Drosophila melanogaster: one gene and its partner. The protein of the gene in region 1 interacts with the protein of each later gene in a biochemical or structural test. Each region holds a gene or a part of one and is shown on either strand. Other genes may lie near its edges.

Region 1 (7,887 bases):
ATTTTGAAAAACAATAAATACAACAGCGCCTTATTATACTTCAATTCCACCAAGCACATTTTTGGAAAAGCTCTGTTTCCACTGAGCAACACTCACAATGATCTAATCTGCTTAACTAGCTATATTTTGCGTTAACCCTACTTATAATAAAATTATTTATTTATGTGTAATAATAAATTTTAACGTATTAAAAACTTAACACAATATAAACAAATATTTTGTGATTAATAATTAAATAGCATGATAACCGGAAACATAACTGTGCGTGGTCCGTAGGTTTTATTAGATATGATATGCCATTATGAAAATCATAAGACTATACATTTATAAAGCGATTTCTGAGATTCAAGATTCAAATGCTCGTTTGTATGTTTATAAAATGTGGTGCGTGCATATGCATACATAATGCTGCGACACATCACACGAAATACCTTCAGTATTTTTAATAGCAAAATAATATACAATAATACGCAAAAACTATATCTAACAATTAAGATTCTATTTTCATTTCATCGATTCCACTATTCCGCAGCATTCCTAAACTTGGCGTCGCTATCTAGACGAGCTTTCCAACAACAAAGTTCAGTATATTTAATGTTAAACAAAATAACACAGTTTTGTTAATTGATTGTGAATCACGTATCTCCATTCACCTTCCCCAGTCCGAGAATCGGATTGTTTATAACCGCATTATCATCGAGTGCGTTAAATAGGGCGTAGGCGTACCATCGGACTGGATCCACCTTAAATAATATGGCTGCCGAGATAAAACCAGCTCAGCGGACCAACAATGATCGCTTTAACACCTCCAAAAAGCCGGAATTGCTGAGTAAGCTGGAGGGCAGCAGCGACGATGTGAACGCAGCGATCCTAATTCCGGGCGAAAACGGCGTAATTAGCGTTTCCGATGACAAGTGCGTAGCTGTAGCCCATTAAAAATATACACAAATGGTATGCCTGACATTTTCATGTTTTCCCCAATAGAACCGTTCGCGTTTGGCTAAAACGCGATTCTGGTCAATATTGGCCTAGCATTTGCCAGTATATGCCTTCCGGCTGCACGGCCATCGAGTACGTTTCGGAATCCCGGCACCTGTACGTCGGCCAGGAAAACGGAACGGTCACCCAGTACGCGCTATCCGAAGACTGCAATCGCCTGTCCTTCCTGCGGGATTACTTGTCCCATCAAGCGCGGGTCATGGCCGTGGTCTTCTCGAAAACCCACAAGTGGATACTCTCCGCCGGCAAAGATAAGCAGTTCGCCTATCATTGCACGGAGAGCGGCAAACGGGTGGGCGGATACAACTTTGAGACACCATGCACGGCTCTCCAGTAAGTATGATAAATGGATGGTGAAAGGGGGAAGGGGGTGCGACAGTGGATATGGGATAAGCGGGTCATTTAATTGGATTAAACTGCTTTCTTTGACACGGCAATAAACTGCAATTCTTCACGGCTATGGAATTCATTTAGAATTTGAGAACCTTCTATTGTTAATGACGTGTCAACTGAGTCATTTTATCTACACAAAATTTTGGCATAAATGTGTGCACTGTGCGAAATATTCTATAAGCAACATATAATTAATTATAATCTGCGTTTAGGTTCGACGCTTTGGCCAAGTATGCCTTTGTGGGCGATCATGCTGGACAGATAACAATGCTAAGGTGCGATGTTCAGGGAGTGCAACTAATTACCACTTTCAATGGACATTCGGGTAAACAAGTTACAAATGATATTTAGTAAGCTAATTATATACGAATTGGTTAATTTTTAGCGGAAATCCGGTGCCTCAAATGGGTGGAAGGCCCTCAGCTCTTGTTTAGCGGAGCTTGCGATCAGTCCGTGCTAGTTTGGGATGTTGGTGGCAAACGTGGCACCATTTACGAGCTGCAGGGACATAGGTATCTCCAATCTTAAATAATATTCATAAAATAAGATAGTAATCGGCACTTCTGATTATGTAGCAACAAAGTTTCCGCCCTGTCGTACGCGAATCACACGCAACAACTGATAAGCTGTGGCGAAGATTCAGTAGTGGTTTTTTGGGAAATGAATGCAATGCGGAAAGAGGTTCCTGGCTGGGTGGATACCAACAACTGTCAGCTTTGCTCCAGGCCCTTCTTCTGGAACTTCCGCTCAATGATGGATCAAAAGCAGCTGGGTGAGATAAATAGCTTACACTTGAGTTACTCTTTGTTTTACAAGTAATTTCTGACTGTCAGGAATACGACAGCATCATTGTCGCCACTGCGGCAAAGCCGTGTGCGACAACTGTTCCACCAATCGCATTAACATACCCATAATGGGCTTCGAGTTTGATGTGCGTACCTGTGATCCGTGCTACAAACAACTTCAGACAGTCGAGCGCCCCTCGCTGGCTTCATTCAATGACGCCAAGCATTCGATCGTCTACATGGACCTGGACGAGGACAGAAAGCGCCTGTTGACAGTGGGCCAGGACAGGCTCATCAAGATCTGGGATCTCTCCAACATCTGGGCATAAAACATCCTGTACGCACACGCACGTACCAAAGGTATAATCATTCACGAGGCGTTTCGGTCTTAACTGGAACACCCAATTAACGAACGATGTGGCTGGCAACGACCAAATCCAGTCCCTGCTGCTTAGGTTCTCATATAATTGATGTAAAGCAATAATCATTGTATGTACGTATGCTTACATTCAACACATAAATACACGAATCCATCGATTAAGTGGTGTTTTCTAAATGAGTTTTTATTAGATTGTACTTTATACTTAATAGCCACCCCTGCCCGGTGGTGGTGCTCCACGGATCATGCTGGGCGGCGGTCCGCGCATCGGTGGCGGAGCACCGCGTCCCATGTTTCCTGGCATCGAGGGCATGCCGCCGGGAATCATGCCCGGTGGCGGTGCACCCATCATCGGTGCTCGTGGCACTCCTCGTCCCATCGGAGCCATGTGCTGTTGGGCGGGTCCGCCCACACCTCTCACGGGACCCTGGAGACCCGCTGGCACGGCGGACAAGTTGATAGGCATTCCGCGTCCGGCCACGCGACCGATTCCCGGACCAGGAGCTGCTCCCGGAATGGGAACTCGGGGCAGGCCCTCCTCTGGCGGCGGTGGTCCCTCCACCGTCAGTGAAACTATGTTCTCGCCGCGCAGCAATACAAAGCCCAGCACGCGCTTCTCCTCGCGCTCGGGCACCTTGGAATTCTTCGAGCGAATCTTCCGGAACTCCTCGCAGTCGCCGAGGATCAAGTTCATGTGTTTGTCGAAGGCTTTGAAGGTACCGATGAAGGTACGCGAGTCCTGCAGCACGATTCGCACCCGATAATTCAGGTGCTGAATCATTTTGTTGTTCTTGCCGATCGTCTGAAATAAAGGAATTCAAAGGATTTAATTGTGAAATACAATAGCATGCATAAAAGTCGCGCCATCTTTTGTAAACCATTTCGACCCTTTAAAAAAGCCGGTATTTATAAAAATTTTAATAAACCACAGAGTTTGAAATAGCAAATCTCAGCGTAATATCGAAGATCACTAAAAATCATAATTTTAAACAAATATAAAATAGTTAATTAGCCAAAACAAATTGTTTTATTTATTCGCATGCATGTTTGTATGTATGTATGCCTATGTAAATACGAAATCGCAACCGCGAAAGTAAGAATCTATGAATTAATACAACTAAACAAAACTTAACCATTGCAGTCAGATGCTTAAAACAGTGTTTTTACTTACCATTTTATTTGATTTCTATGTTAATTCTATCGCTTGTAAATAAAATACAGATGCCGGAACCTCACCACGGCTTTTTTCGATAGGCATGAAGAATAAATCGAGTGGCGTGTGCGGCGGTCAGCATTTTCTGGTGTCTTTCAATCGAGCCTATCGAATATAAATTTTTTATTGATAATCCACATGATTTTTTAAACAAACATTCGACTATCCCTAGCAAAAGAAGAGAAAAAAATTAAATTTTTTTTAAATCTTATGATAAAAAACGAAAAAAGAAAAAATTTGAATCAGTATGTTTTTTCTCAATTTTTTTCGTTAGAGATGGTCGAATTTTCATTAAAAAAATCATGTGGCGGCACTTATCGATATCGATAGGCAGTGGCCATGTTATCAAACTTATTCTTATTCATCAGCCACGTCATTGTTTATGCCGACATTCTGACAAGTTTTTTTCCGAAGCGGCAAAGCCCTCACATCTCTACTCGTTGGCAAATTAGGCGAAAAGTCATTTTGGTAACGTATGCAGCTGTTGAAACACTGAATGCCGCCATTATTGCTATAGTATACACTCCCATTTTCATATAGGCGTGCGTTCCGTGACGCAGCCGCAGCGAAAGGAAGTAGAACAATCAAACAGCCAACCGGGCAGCCAAGTAGCCAAGTCGGCGGATTAGATCACGATGAATATCTTTCGCTTTGCTGGGGATCTGTCGCATGTGTTTGCCATCATAATACTGCTGCTGAAGATATGGAAGACCCGCTCGTGCGCCGGAATATCGGGCAAGTCGCAGATCCTGTTCGCCGTGGTCTATCTGACGCGCTACCTGGATCTGTTCACCACCTACGTGAGCCTGTACAACTCGGTGATGAAGGTGTTGTTCCTGGCCACGTCCGGTGCCACCGTGTATTTGATGTACGTGAAGTTTAAGGCCACCTATGACCACAATCACGATTCGTTCCGCATCGAATTCCTGCTGGTGCCGTGCGCCCTGCTCTCGCTGGTGATCAATCATGAGTTTACCGTGATGGAAGTGCTGTGGACATTCTCGATCTATTTGGAATCGGTGGCCATTCTGCCGCAGCTGTTCCTAGTGAGCAGAACCGGCGAGGCCGAGTCCATCACCAGCCACTACCTCTTCGCCCTGGGATCGTACCGTGCACTCTACTTGCTCAACTGGGTCTACCGGTACATGGTCGAGTCGCACTACGACCTTATCGCGATCTTCGCCGGAGTTGTCCAGACCGTCTTGTACTGCGACTTCTTCTACTTATACATTACCAAAGTTCTTAAGGGCAAGAAGCTCCAGCTGCCGGCATAAGCGGATGATGGATAAGTGCATAGATGTGGGACATTTGTGTTTTGTCGGCACACATCATCAATCGACGTCAGAGTAAACAAGCGAGCGATCCACGGCCCGTTTGACAACGCGTATTTCGTTCATATTATACAAAAGATACATAATCGAGGGGAGCGCCTAAGTTGTAATTATTTAATGAGAAATAAACCGAAAATCGAAAGTACACTATAAACTATGCAATACCGACATCGTACATTGAAAATGTAACAAATGTATTAATCTCCGTTTTCCGAACTGCACTCACAAATTTTAGAATCCAAAAATATTAAAAAAAAAAATCATTACTCCAGTAAGAGATAACGTTAATTGACAAAATCGAAACAAATGTTTTCTCTTTTGCGCGGAGGCTTATCTGATTCGCAATAGTATCACAGAAGAGGTCATAGATTTCTTTGTTTAATTAAGAATTTAAAGTTATGCATTAAATAGCTCTTAAGTCGACTGTATCCTAAAAATCCGAGTAAAGTTAAGTCTTATTGTGTGGCTAATAGTAAAGTAAATGATGAGCGATGTCAACATATAATACACATAATATTCTGAAAAATAGGCCGCAGGATCGTAGGAACTCCATGTGCTGTTTTGCACAACTTCTATTGAATTCCGAAAAGATATATTAAATTTCTGCAACACCCTCGTTTCCCCTTGCACGCTTCGCAGTCATGCCAGATGCAAATGGAAAATTTAATTTATATGGAGATCATGTACGAAACAAATACGAACCTAATGTGGCATAAATAATATTTTAAACACTTTTGCAGATATTATATTATAAACAAAGTACAATAAACAACTCGATTTTCTTTTATTTATTAGATTACAATGCAAAGAGTTAGTAAGGATGTATAAATATATATTACATCTCTATAAATTGTTTAGTTTCCAAAAACTTGAAGCACTGTGCCGTTATCAAAAAAGGGGGAATACCCCTAACACTCGGCTGTTATCTGTAAAAATATTTACAGCACTGCCACACTGCAAAAATGTCATAATCAAAACAAAATGAGAAGAATTGGTCTTTTAAATAGTTTAATGCGCCAGAAAACGACTGCCAGAAACTTGTTTCAGTTCGGCAAAGTTAAGGGGTATGGGCTCCGGCTTATCTCTTTCAGGACTCTATTCTGATGGGTATACTTACAGAGATACTGGCAAATATGAACAGATCGTGTCCACCGGCCAAGTTTCCCCGGAACGTTTTGTGCCCGAGGAGATCAAGAAACCGGCGTACTACTTCAAGAATATGCCACCGGGTAACACGCTGGGATCGCCCGAAATCAAAAGCCAGGTTCAGATTGATGCCATGCGTCTAAGCGGCAGACTGGCGGCCAGGATACTGCGCGAATGCGGTAAACTAGCAACAGTTGGCACAACCACCGATCAGATTGATGCCTTTGCGCATGAAAGAATTCTCGAGTCCAAAGCGTATCCGTCGCCGCTGAGATACGCCGGCTTCCCAAAGTCCATTTGCACGTCGATCAACAATATCGCCTGTCACGGAATTCCGGATGACCGGCAGTTGGCCGATGGGGATATTATAAATATTGATGTCACAGTCTTTTTGAACGGCTACCATGGCGACTGTTCGGAAACATTTCGGGTGGGCAACGTGGACGAACGGGGTGGCTTTCTCGTGGAGGCCACTAAATCCTGTTTGGATCAGTGCATTTCGCTGTGCGGCCCCGGTGTGGAATTCAATGAGATTGGAAAGTTCATAGACAGATATTGCGACGAACATGATCTGGCATCGATAGCTGCTTTCATTGGACATGGAATCGGTAGCTATTTCCACGGCCCCCCGGAGATACTACACTATTGTAAGTAAGACTGTTTAAGAGACTCCTCCATTGCTAATCAAACTGCACATCGTAGATAATGAGATTCCTGGAAAGATGCAGCCCGGCATGACCTTCACCATTGAACCCATTCTGTCCCTGGGCGGAGCAGAAATAGCAGTGCTGCAAGATGGCTGGACGGCCATTAGTTTGGATGGCGCACGTAGCGCCCAGTTCGAGCACACCATTCTGATAACCGAGACGGGAACGGAGATACTTACAAGAGATCAATAGAATTTTATGTACATGATGCAATTTTTATTCGTGATTCCCATAAAGTGTTGAATGAGTGCTGGATGGCAGTCTTGTGCATTTTGTGCCGTTTTAATCGTCGACTCCGTCTGGTTAGGTGCTCTAATTGATTGATGATGCATACAGAATTTAGCTACAAATCGCATTGGACTTCTGCACCGGCTTCTGAATGGGAAGGAAGAGCTTAAACTCCGGCGGCAGCTCGTCCTCCGAGTAGAGACGATCGGAGAAGTAGACGCGTCTGATGCGGCAATTTGCATGAATCTGTACACGGAGTGTCTCCACATAATTGGTGCCGTATGCGCGACGCGTGAAGTCGGACAGGTTGAACTGGATCTGGTTCCATCCCTCGTCCAATCGCATGGGCATGGTGCAAATGAAAGGCTTGACACGAGTTGTCGACTGGTAGTTACTGGCCCTAAACCTTCGCCGCACGTTCTTGTCATCGAGAACCTGATTAGGGGCGGAAATCATGGAGTTACTGTCTTATGCAAGATGACGAAGCTTACCTGAACCTCGAAGGTGAAGTACTTCTTCATGTTCTTGATGATCATCACCAGGAAGGGCAGCTTGATGCCCAGCGTCTTCTTCGGATCTGCCGGACATGTTATGAACGTGGTGCTGACATTGGTGCCGACTATTTCCAACACGAGGCTTTGTATGTCGTTGTCGGTGATCCGCTTGATGTGTCCATTGCGCACCTTCTTATCCCACAGCTGCAGTG
Region 2 (5,501 bases), on another chromosome or scaffold:
GAATCTTTGCCAGCGACTCCGAAATGCGGATGACAGCCTCCAACTGACGCACAGTGATGGGAATGCTTAGCCGCTTGTCAGATGCCTTCTCCTGCTGGCCGGCTCCACTGCGCATAAGCACGTAGCGGCTCTTTAGCTTCTCGCCGGCAGCTTCGCTCAGGCGCGGACCGCAATGAGTTCGGCAGTAGTGAATATACTTCTTGAACGTCGACAGCGATATCTCACCCTCAGCCGGCTCTGAAGGCGCTGACTTGTTAGAGCTCAGATGCACGTTGATGATGTGCTTGGCCAGCGTAATGTCCCGCGACTCATCGTGAATATCCTTTACAATGAAAATCATGTCGAAACGGGAGAGAATTGTGGGCATAAAGTCAATGTTCTCCTCGCCCTTGGTGTCGTCCCATCGACCGAAAATGGAGTTGGCAGCTGCCAAGACCGAACAGCGTGAGTTCAAGGTGGTCGTGATGCCGGCTTTGGCAATGGATATTGTCTGCTGTTCCATGGCCTCGTGAATGGCCACACGATCATCCTCTCGCATTTTGTCGAACTCATCAATACAAACCACGCCTCCATCGGCCAGCACCATGGCTCCACCCTCCATGACAAAGTTACGCTAAAGATTAATGTATCATTTAATTTGTAAGGATTAGGTGTGCAATGTTTTTTCTCACCGTTTGAGGATCCTTCATAACCGAAGCCGTGAGACCAGCCGCACTGGAGCCTTTGCCCGAAGTGTAGACTGCTATGGGTGCCACCTTCTCCACAAACTTTAACAACTGTGACTTGGCAGTACCAGGATCTCCCAGCAGTAAGACGTTAATGTCGCCTCGACGGCACAGACCATCCGGTAAACGCTTACGAGACCCGCCAAAAAGCATACAAGTTATAGCTTTCTTGATATCCCGAGAGCCGAAGATGCTGGGCGCCAGTGACTGTGAGAGACGTTCGTAGATGTCCCCAGAGGCGGCCATTCGCCGGAAGTGCTCCTCCTCATCGGATGTGATGTTGCTGTATCGGGAGATGGCACCCGCACCCTCTGAGTCGACGGTGATGCCCACCACCCTCATGTAAGGAGCACGGACTCCAACGACGGCTTTCTCGCGACCATCCCGACGCGAGGGTTTGCCCACCTTGCGAATGGAGTATATGCCCTGGATAAGCACGCGATTGCCGGGCACCACGCGTTCACAGAGCGAGCGATCGCAGAAGAGCTGCAAGTGGCGGGGAATCTCACCCTGTGGCACAAAGTCGGGGAGCTCTTGCAACTTAAGGGTCTGGAAATCGACGCACTTGCACTTGTCCGGCATGATGAAGAAGGGGTCCAGCGGGCACTTGGGTCTGCCCGCCTGCTCCGTGTTGCACTTCCTGGGTAGGGCGTAGCCCTCCAAACCTGGATTCACTTTGAGATTCGGTATGACCGTGCTGCAGGACAGGCATTGGATAGACATCCGCGTAGCCTTGGCACTTATTCCTGAGGCTGCGACAATGATTCCGGCGATCTTAACCAGCTTGGATACGCAGTCCGACTTCAACTGTCGTATGTTGGTGGGATTCGCATTGGAGCTCAGAAGAATCTGGATGTCGTGCATATGTTCCTCGTGCTCCGGCCGGGGAGCTGTGATCTCGTCGGCTACCTCCCGGGCAGCCTCCTCGAAGATTTCCAAATGCTCCGTCGGCTGCTTGTTCAGCTTGTCAGCCAAGGTCTCATCGAAGCCCACCAAATCCTCCATCTCAATCTCCAAGAAGTAGCGACCATTAAGATAGTTCCTCTTCAGGGTGTCACTGCAGGGGGATTACCTTAAATGGGGTTCAGATGAGGAGATGCAGTTCACTTACCGGTATTTGTAGAAAAAGTTCTCCTCGTTAAATGTCCGGATGAACTCCTTGTACTTCTTCTTTACCGCCTGCAAGTTGATTTGCGCATCCTGCTGGTTATCTCCGCCGAAATTGTCCGAAAAGAACACACCCGCATCGTCGAAGCCTTCCATTTTGATAGGGTAAACAAAGTTAAAAAGAAGAACTGAGGTAATAGACGCTACTTCTGCTTCGCTTTATATTTCGTTTTTTAGTAAATGCGATGTGCGAATATTTTGCCGCCAAAATTACCGGGCAAGCGGTAGCTAGAGATGAGCACTTACCAGTAAAACTATCGGATCTTATTTACAACTATCGATGAAACGTGTTTCCCAGTTTATGTATTTTTGTTAGCAGTGAAATAGGACCAATACAACAAGCATTGCAGCAGTTAATAAACCATGAACGTATTTATTATATCTTATTGATGTTATGACAAAGATTATTTTACTCGATTATATGGAACATGCCTTAGACAACTGACTCCAATTCTTCCCAGCTCAAAAATACTAAAATTTCAGAAAAATCCAATAATATCGAGCTGGCGATATTTGTTTCCAGCTTTTGTGCGGGGGCAGTGTTGATAAGCGACCTTTTAAACTAGCGTGCTGTAGAAACAGTCCCATCATTTAGTCGCCAATTTTTCGACGTGAAAAACCAAAGAGACGCCGAAGAAATTAGAAAATGGTAAGTTTTGGTCAAAATGTGACGGCAATCGACAGGCCAGTAGCTGACGAACCCGATTCGCAGGCCAGCACAGACATTCCCATGGAGGCAGCTGTGGAATCGGCGACCGGCATCACGCCCAATTCAAATGCGAACTCAAACAATGTGGCGAAGAAGCTGCCCGCGGAGGGCTCCACCGGTGATAATCCCAATGCCAACGCCGACGAGATGACGTCCCGCGACTATTACTTTGACTCCTATGCCCATTTCGGGATCCACGAGGAGATGCTCAAGGACGAAGTGCGCACCGTCACATACCGCAACGCCATGTACCACAACAAGCATCTGTTTCAGGGCAAGGTAGGGTTAACTTCCGGGGTTTCCCCATTTTTCGTAGCCCTTCTCACCGGGGTATCTCCTCTTTGCAGACCGTACTGGACGTGGGTTGCGGTACCGGCATTCTCTCCATGTTCGCTGCCAAAGCCGGTGCTGCTCAGGTGATTGCCGTCGACTGCTCCAACATCATTGAGTTTGCCCGCCAAGTGGTCATTGACAACAATCTGCAGGATGTAATCACGGTTGTCAAGGGCAAGATTGAGGAGATTGAGCTTCCAAATGGTATTGAGGGAGTGGACATTATTATTTCCGAGTGGATGGGGTAGGTTTTCATTTGTAGTTAAGCTTTTAAAAAGTGGTCATATTTGATTTAGCATATTAACCATTTTAATTTCTTTCCTTAATTTAGTTACTGCCTGTTCTACGAATCCATGCTGGATACAGTGTTGTACGCTCGGGACAAGTGGCTGAAGAAGGACGGCATGATGTTCCCAGATAGGGGCACGCTGTATATCACGGCCATCGAGGACAGACAGTACAAGGACGAGAAGATCAACTGGTGGGACGATGTCTACGGCTTCGACATGAGCTGCATTCGTAAGGTGGCCGTGACCGAGCCACTGGTCGACGTGGTCGATCCCAAGCAAGTGGTATCCACATCTTGCATGGTCAAGGAGGTGGATCTGTATACCGTGCAAAAGGCCGATCTTAACTTCTCGTCCAAGTTCAGCCTATGCATCAAGCGCAACGACTTCGTGCAGGCATTAGTCACCTACTTTAATATAGAGTTCACCAAGTGCCACAAGCGTCTTGGGTTCAGTACGTCACCAGACTCCACATACACGCATTGGAAGCAAACCGTGTTCTACCTCGATGACCACATGACGGCAAAGAAGAACGAGGAGATCACTGGCACGTTCCAGATGAAGCCCAACGAGCGGAACAACCGTGACCTGGACTTCGTCATCGACATTAATTTCAAGGGCGAATTGTCTCAAATTCAGGAGTCGAACACATACCGCATGCGCTAGGGGCAGCCATAACCAATCCGATCTGCCATTTGGGATGGGGCTCAGAGCCCTGCAGCGAGGATACATACAATGACTAGACGTAAGGTTTATTCCAGTGCGAAATGTGCAACGAATTCGTGTTGCGTCTTCTCCTAAGTTTAAAGTGTACCTTTGTTAGTATACATAATATTTTACACTCGTGCGCCTGTTTAAATTATTATTCGAACATACTTCTAAGCAAGTTGTACAGCAGCACGTCAATTCTCACATAATAAACAGTGCACTAAGCACGTCCCCTTTTGCTGGAAACAAACTGTTTTTGATGATATATGAAACCAATCAAAACTCGCTGATTGTGCGTCTTTATTTTTTAGTAAAAAAAAAAAAGGAATTTCAAGAATGCATCGAAAGATTTATATTGTCATCTGAAGTAAATTTACTTGGATCGCAATCGACATAGGAATTCCTACAGAAAATACGGCCTTGGCCGGCTTGTTCTTTGATGCGACACTGCTTAAACGATATCCTTTTGGAAACATTAATGACGATCCCGAGAATCCGAGCGACTTCGACGATCGCGCGAGAAGCTGCGGCTGCGGGGCGATCGGGAGCGACGTGGCGAACGTGACCTGAAATAAACGCATTGGTAAAGAAGAAATGATTACTTAAAAGCTTAATAAAATTATTTAAATCAGCTTAGAATGGTAAGAAGTGTATGTACATACGCGCCTTACAAAGAGCTGCAAAATAGGAGTGTTAAATACTGCTAAATAGTTACTTAAACTAATTACCAGGGGGAACAAAAATGAAAGCTGTGCAAACTGTTTTGTTTCTATGAATTAAGCTGTGAACCAATTAAGATAAGAGTATTATTGCTAATGCTGCTATTACATTTAGCTGCTGCAATTACATTTACTATCTATTACCAACTGATATCCTATAATTAGAGTTTAAAGCTTTCTACTTTGTCGGATACATATGCAATAAGAAAATGGTCGAACAAATCTATAGTAGCTGTGATCATCAGCGTTAAACGCGTTCAAGGCCAGTTTTCTCGACATCAGAGTCAAGTACTTGAGAAAGCGGACGAACCCTCATATCATAGGCAACTAAATTAAAGAAATAATTGTAAGCAATTATTTGAAGGATACGCAGGATAACTTTAAAAAAGAACTCTTTGGGCGACTGCATTGCTTCTTCTAGGATGAAATCATTTGGGTTGCTAATCAAAACTTCTGTGAGGCTGTGACGCTGAACATGGTTAATTTAGAGTTGCAAGTTGAAGGTTGCTGGCTGTGGCTGTGAAGATGGTTGCTGTTGTAGATTGTTGATGTTGTAGAAGGAAGAAGTAGCAGTGGAAGTAGTTCTAGCCGAAGGAGTTATCCTGAAAAAGTGTCGATAACTCGAATTTAACAACCACTAAATGATTGGATCGTAGATAATATATGTATACAGTTTGTAAGTTTGGTCTAAATAAAGTACCAAGTCAATTTTTAATTAGAAATGTTATGAATAGCGATGTGATGTCAGTTGGACATGAATAAAACAGCCTGCGAAGAAGTACTCATAAAACTGACATTTCGAAGGCTGTTCTATCACGTGCAGAAAAAGGCGGGAAAATGTACATGTTTGCTA

What was found.
Region 2: of the proteins of SmB (region 1) and Art1, one has a biochemical effect on the other in vitro, tested with the Drosophila melanogaster proteins (one study listed by BioGRID).

What each region holds. Positions count from the first base shown.
Region 1 is NT_033779.5:10,422,767-10,430,653, forward strand, and holds SmB (small ribonucleoprotein particle protein SmB), read right to left. Parts: upstream 3,862-7,887; 5' UTR 3,731-3,861; coding exon 3,728-3,730; intron 3,359-3,727; coding exon 2,762-3,358; 3' UTR 2,717-2,761; downstream 1-2,716. Other genes in the region: Wdfy2 (WD repeat and FYVE domain containing 2), read left to right, coding at 754-914, 985-1,332, 1,605-1,717, 1,778-1,904, 1,968-2,164, 2,226-2,506; KdelR (KDEL receptor), read left to right, coding at 4,405-5,043; CG5188 (uncharacterized protein), read left to right, coding at 6,082-6,164, 6,220-6,893, 6,949-7,145; Bug22 (basal body up regulated gene 22), read right to left, coding at 7,293-7,616, 7,673-7,887. UniProt on the Drosophila melanogaster protein: Plays a role in pre-mRNA splicing as a core component of the spliceosomal U1, U2, U4 and U5 small nuclear ribonucleoproteins (snRNPs), the building blocks of the spliceosome. Involved in germline establishment and development.
Region 2 is NT_033777.3:10,785,152-10,790,652, reverse strand, and holds Art1 (arginine methyltransferase 1), read left to right. Parts: upstream 1-2,426; 5' UTR 2,427-2,538; coding exon 2,539-2,541; intron 2,542-2,604; coding exon 2,605-2,880; intron 2,881-2,948; coding exon 2,949-3,178; intron 3,179-3,265; coding exon 3,266-3,887; 3' UTR 3,888-4,172; downstream 4,173-5,501. Other genes in the region: Mcm5 (minichromosome maintenance 5), read right to left, coding at 1-613, 672-1,782, 1,837-1,988; Rbp1 (RNA-binding protein 1), read right to left, coding at 5,133-5,250.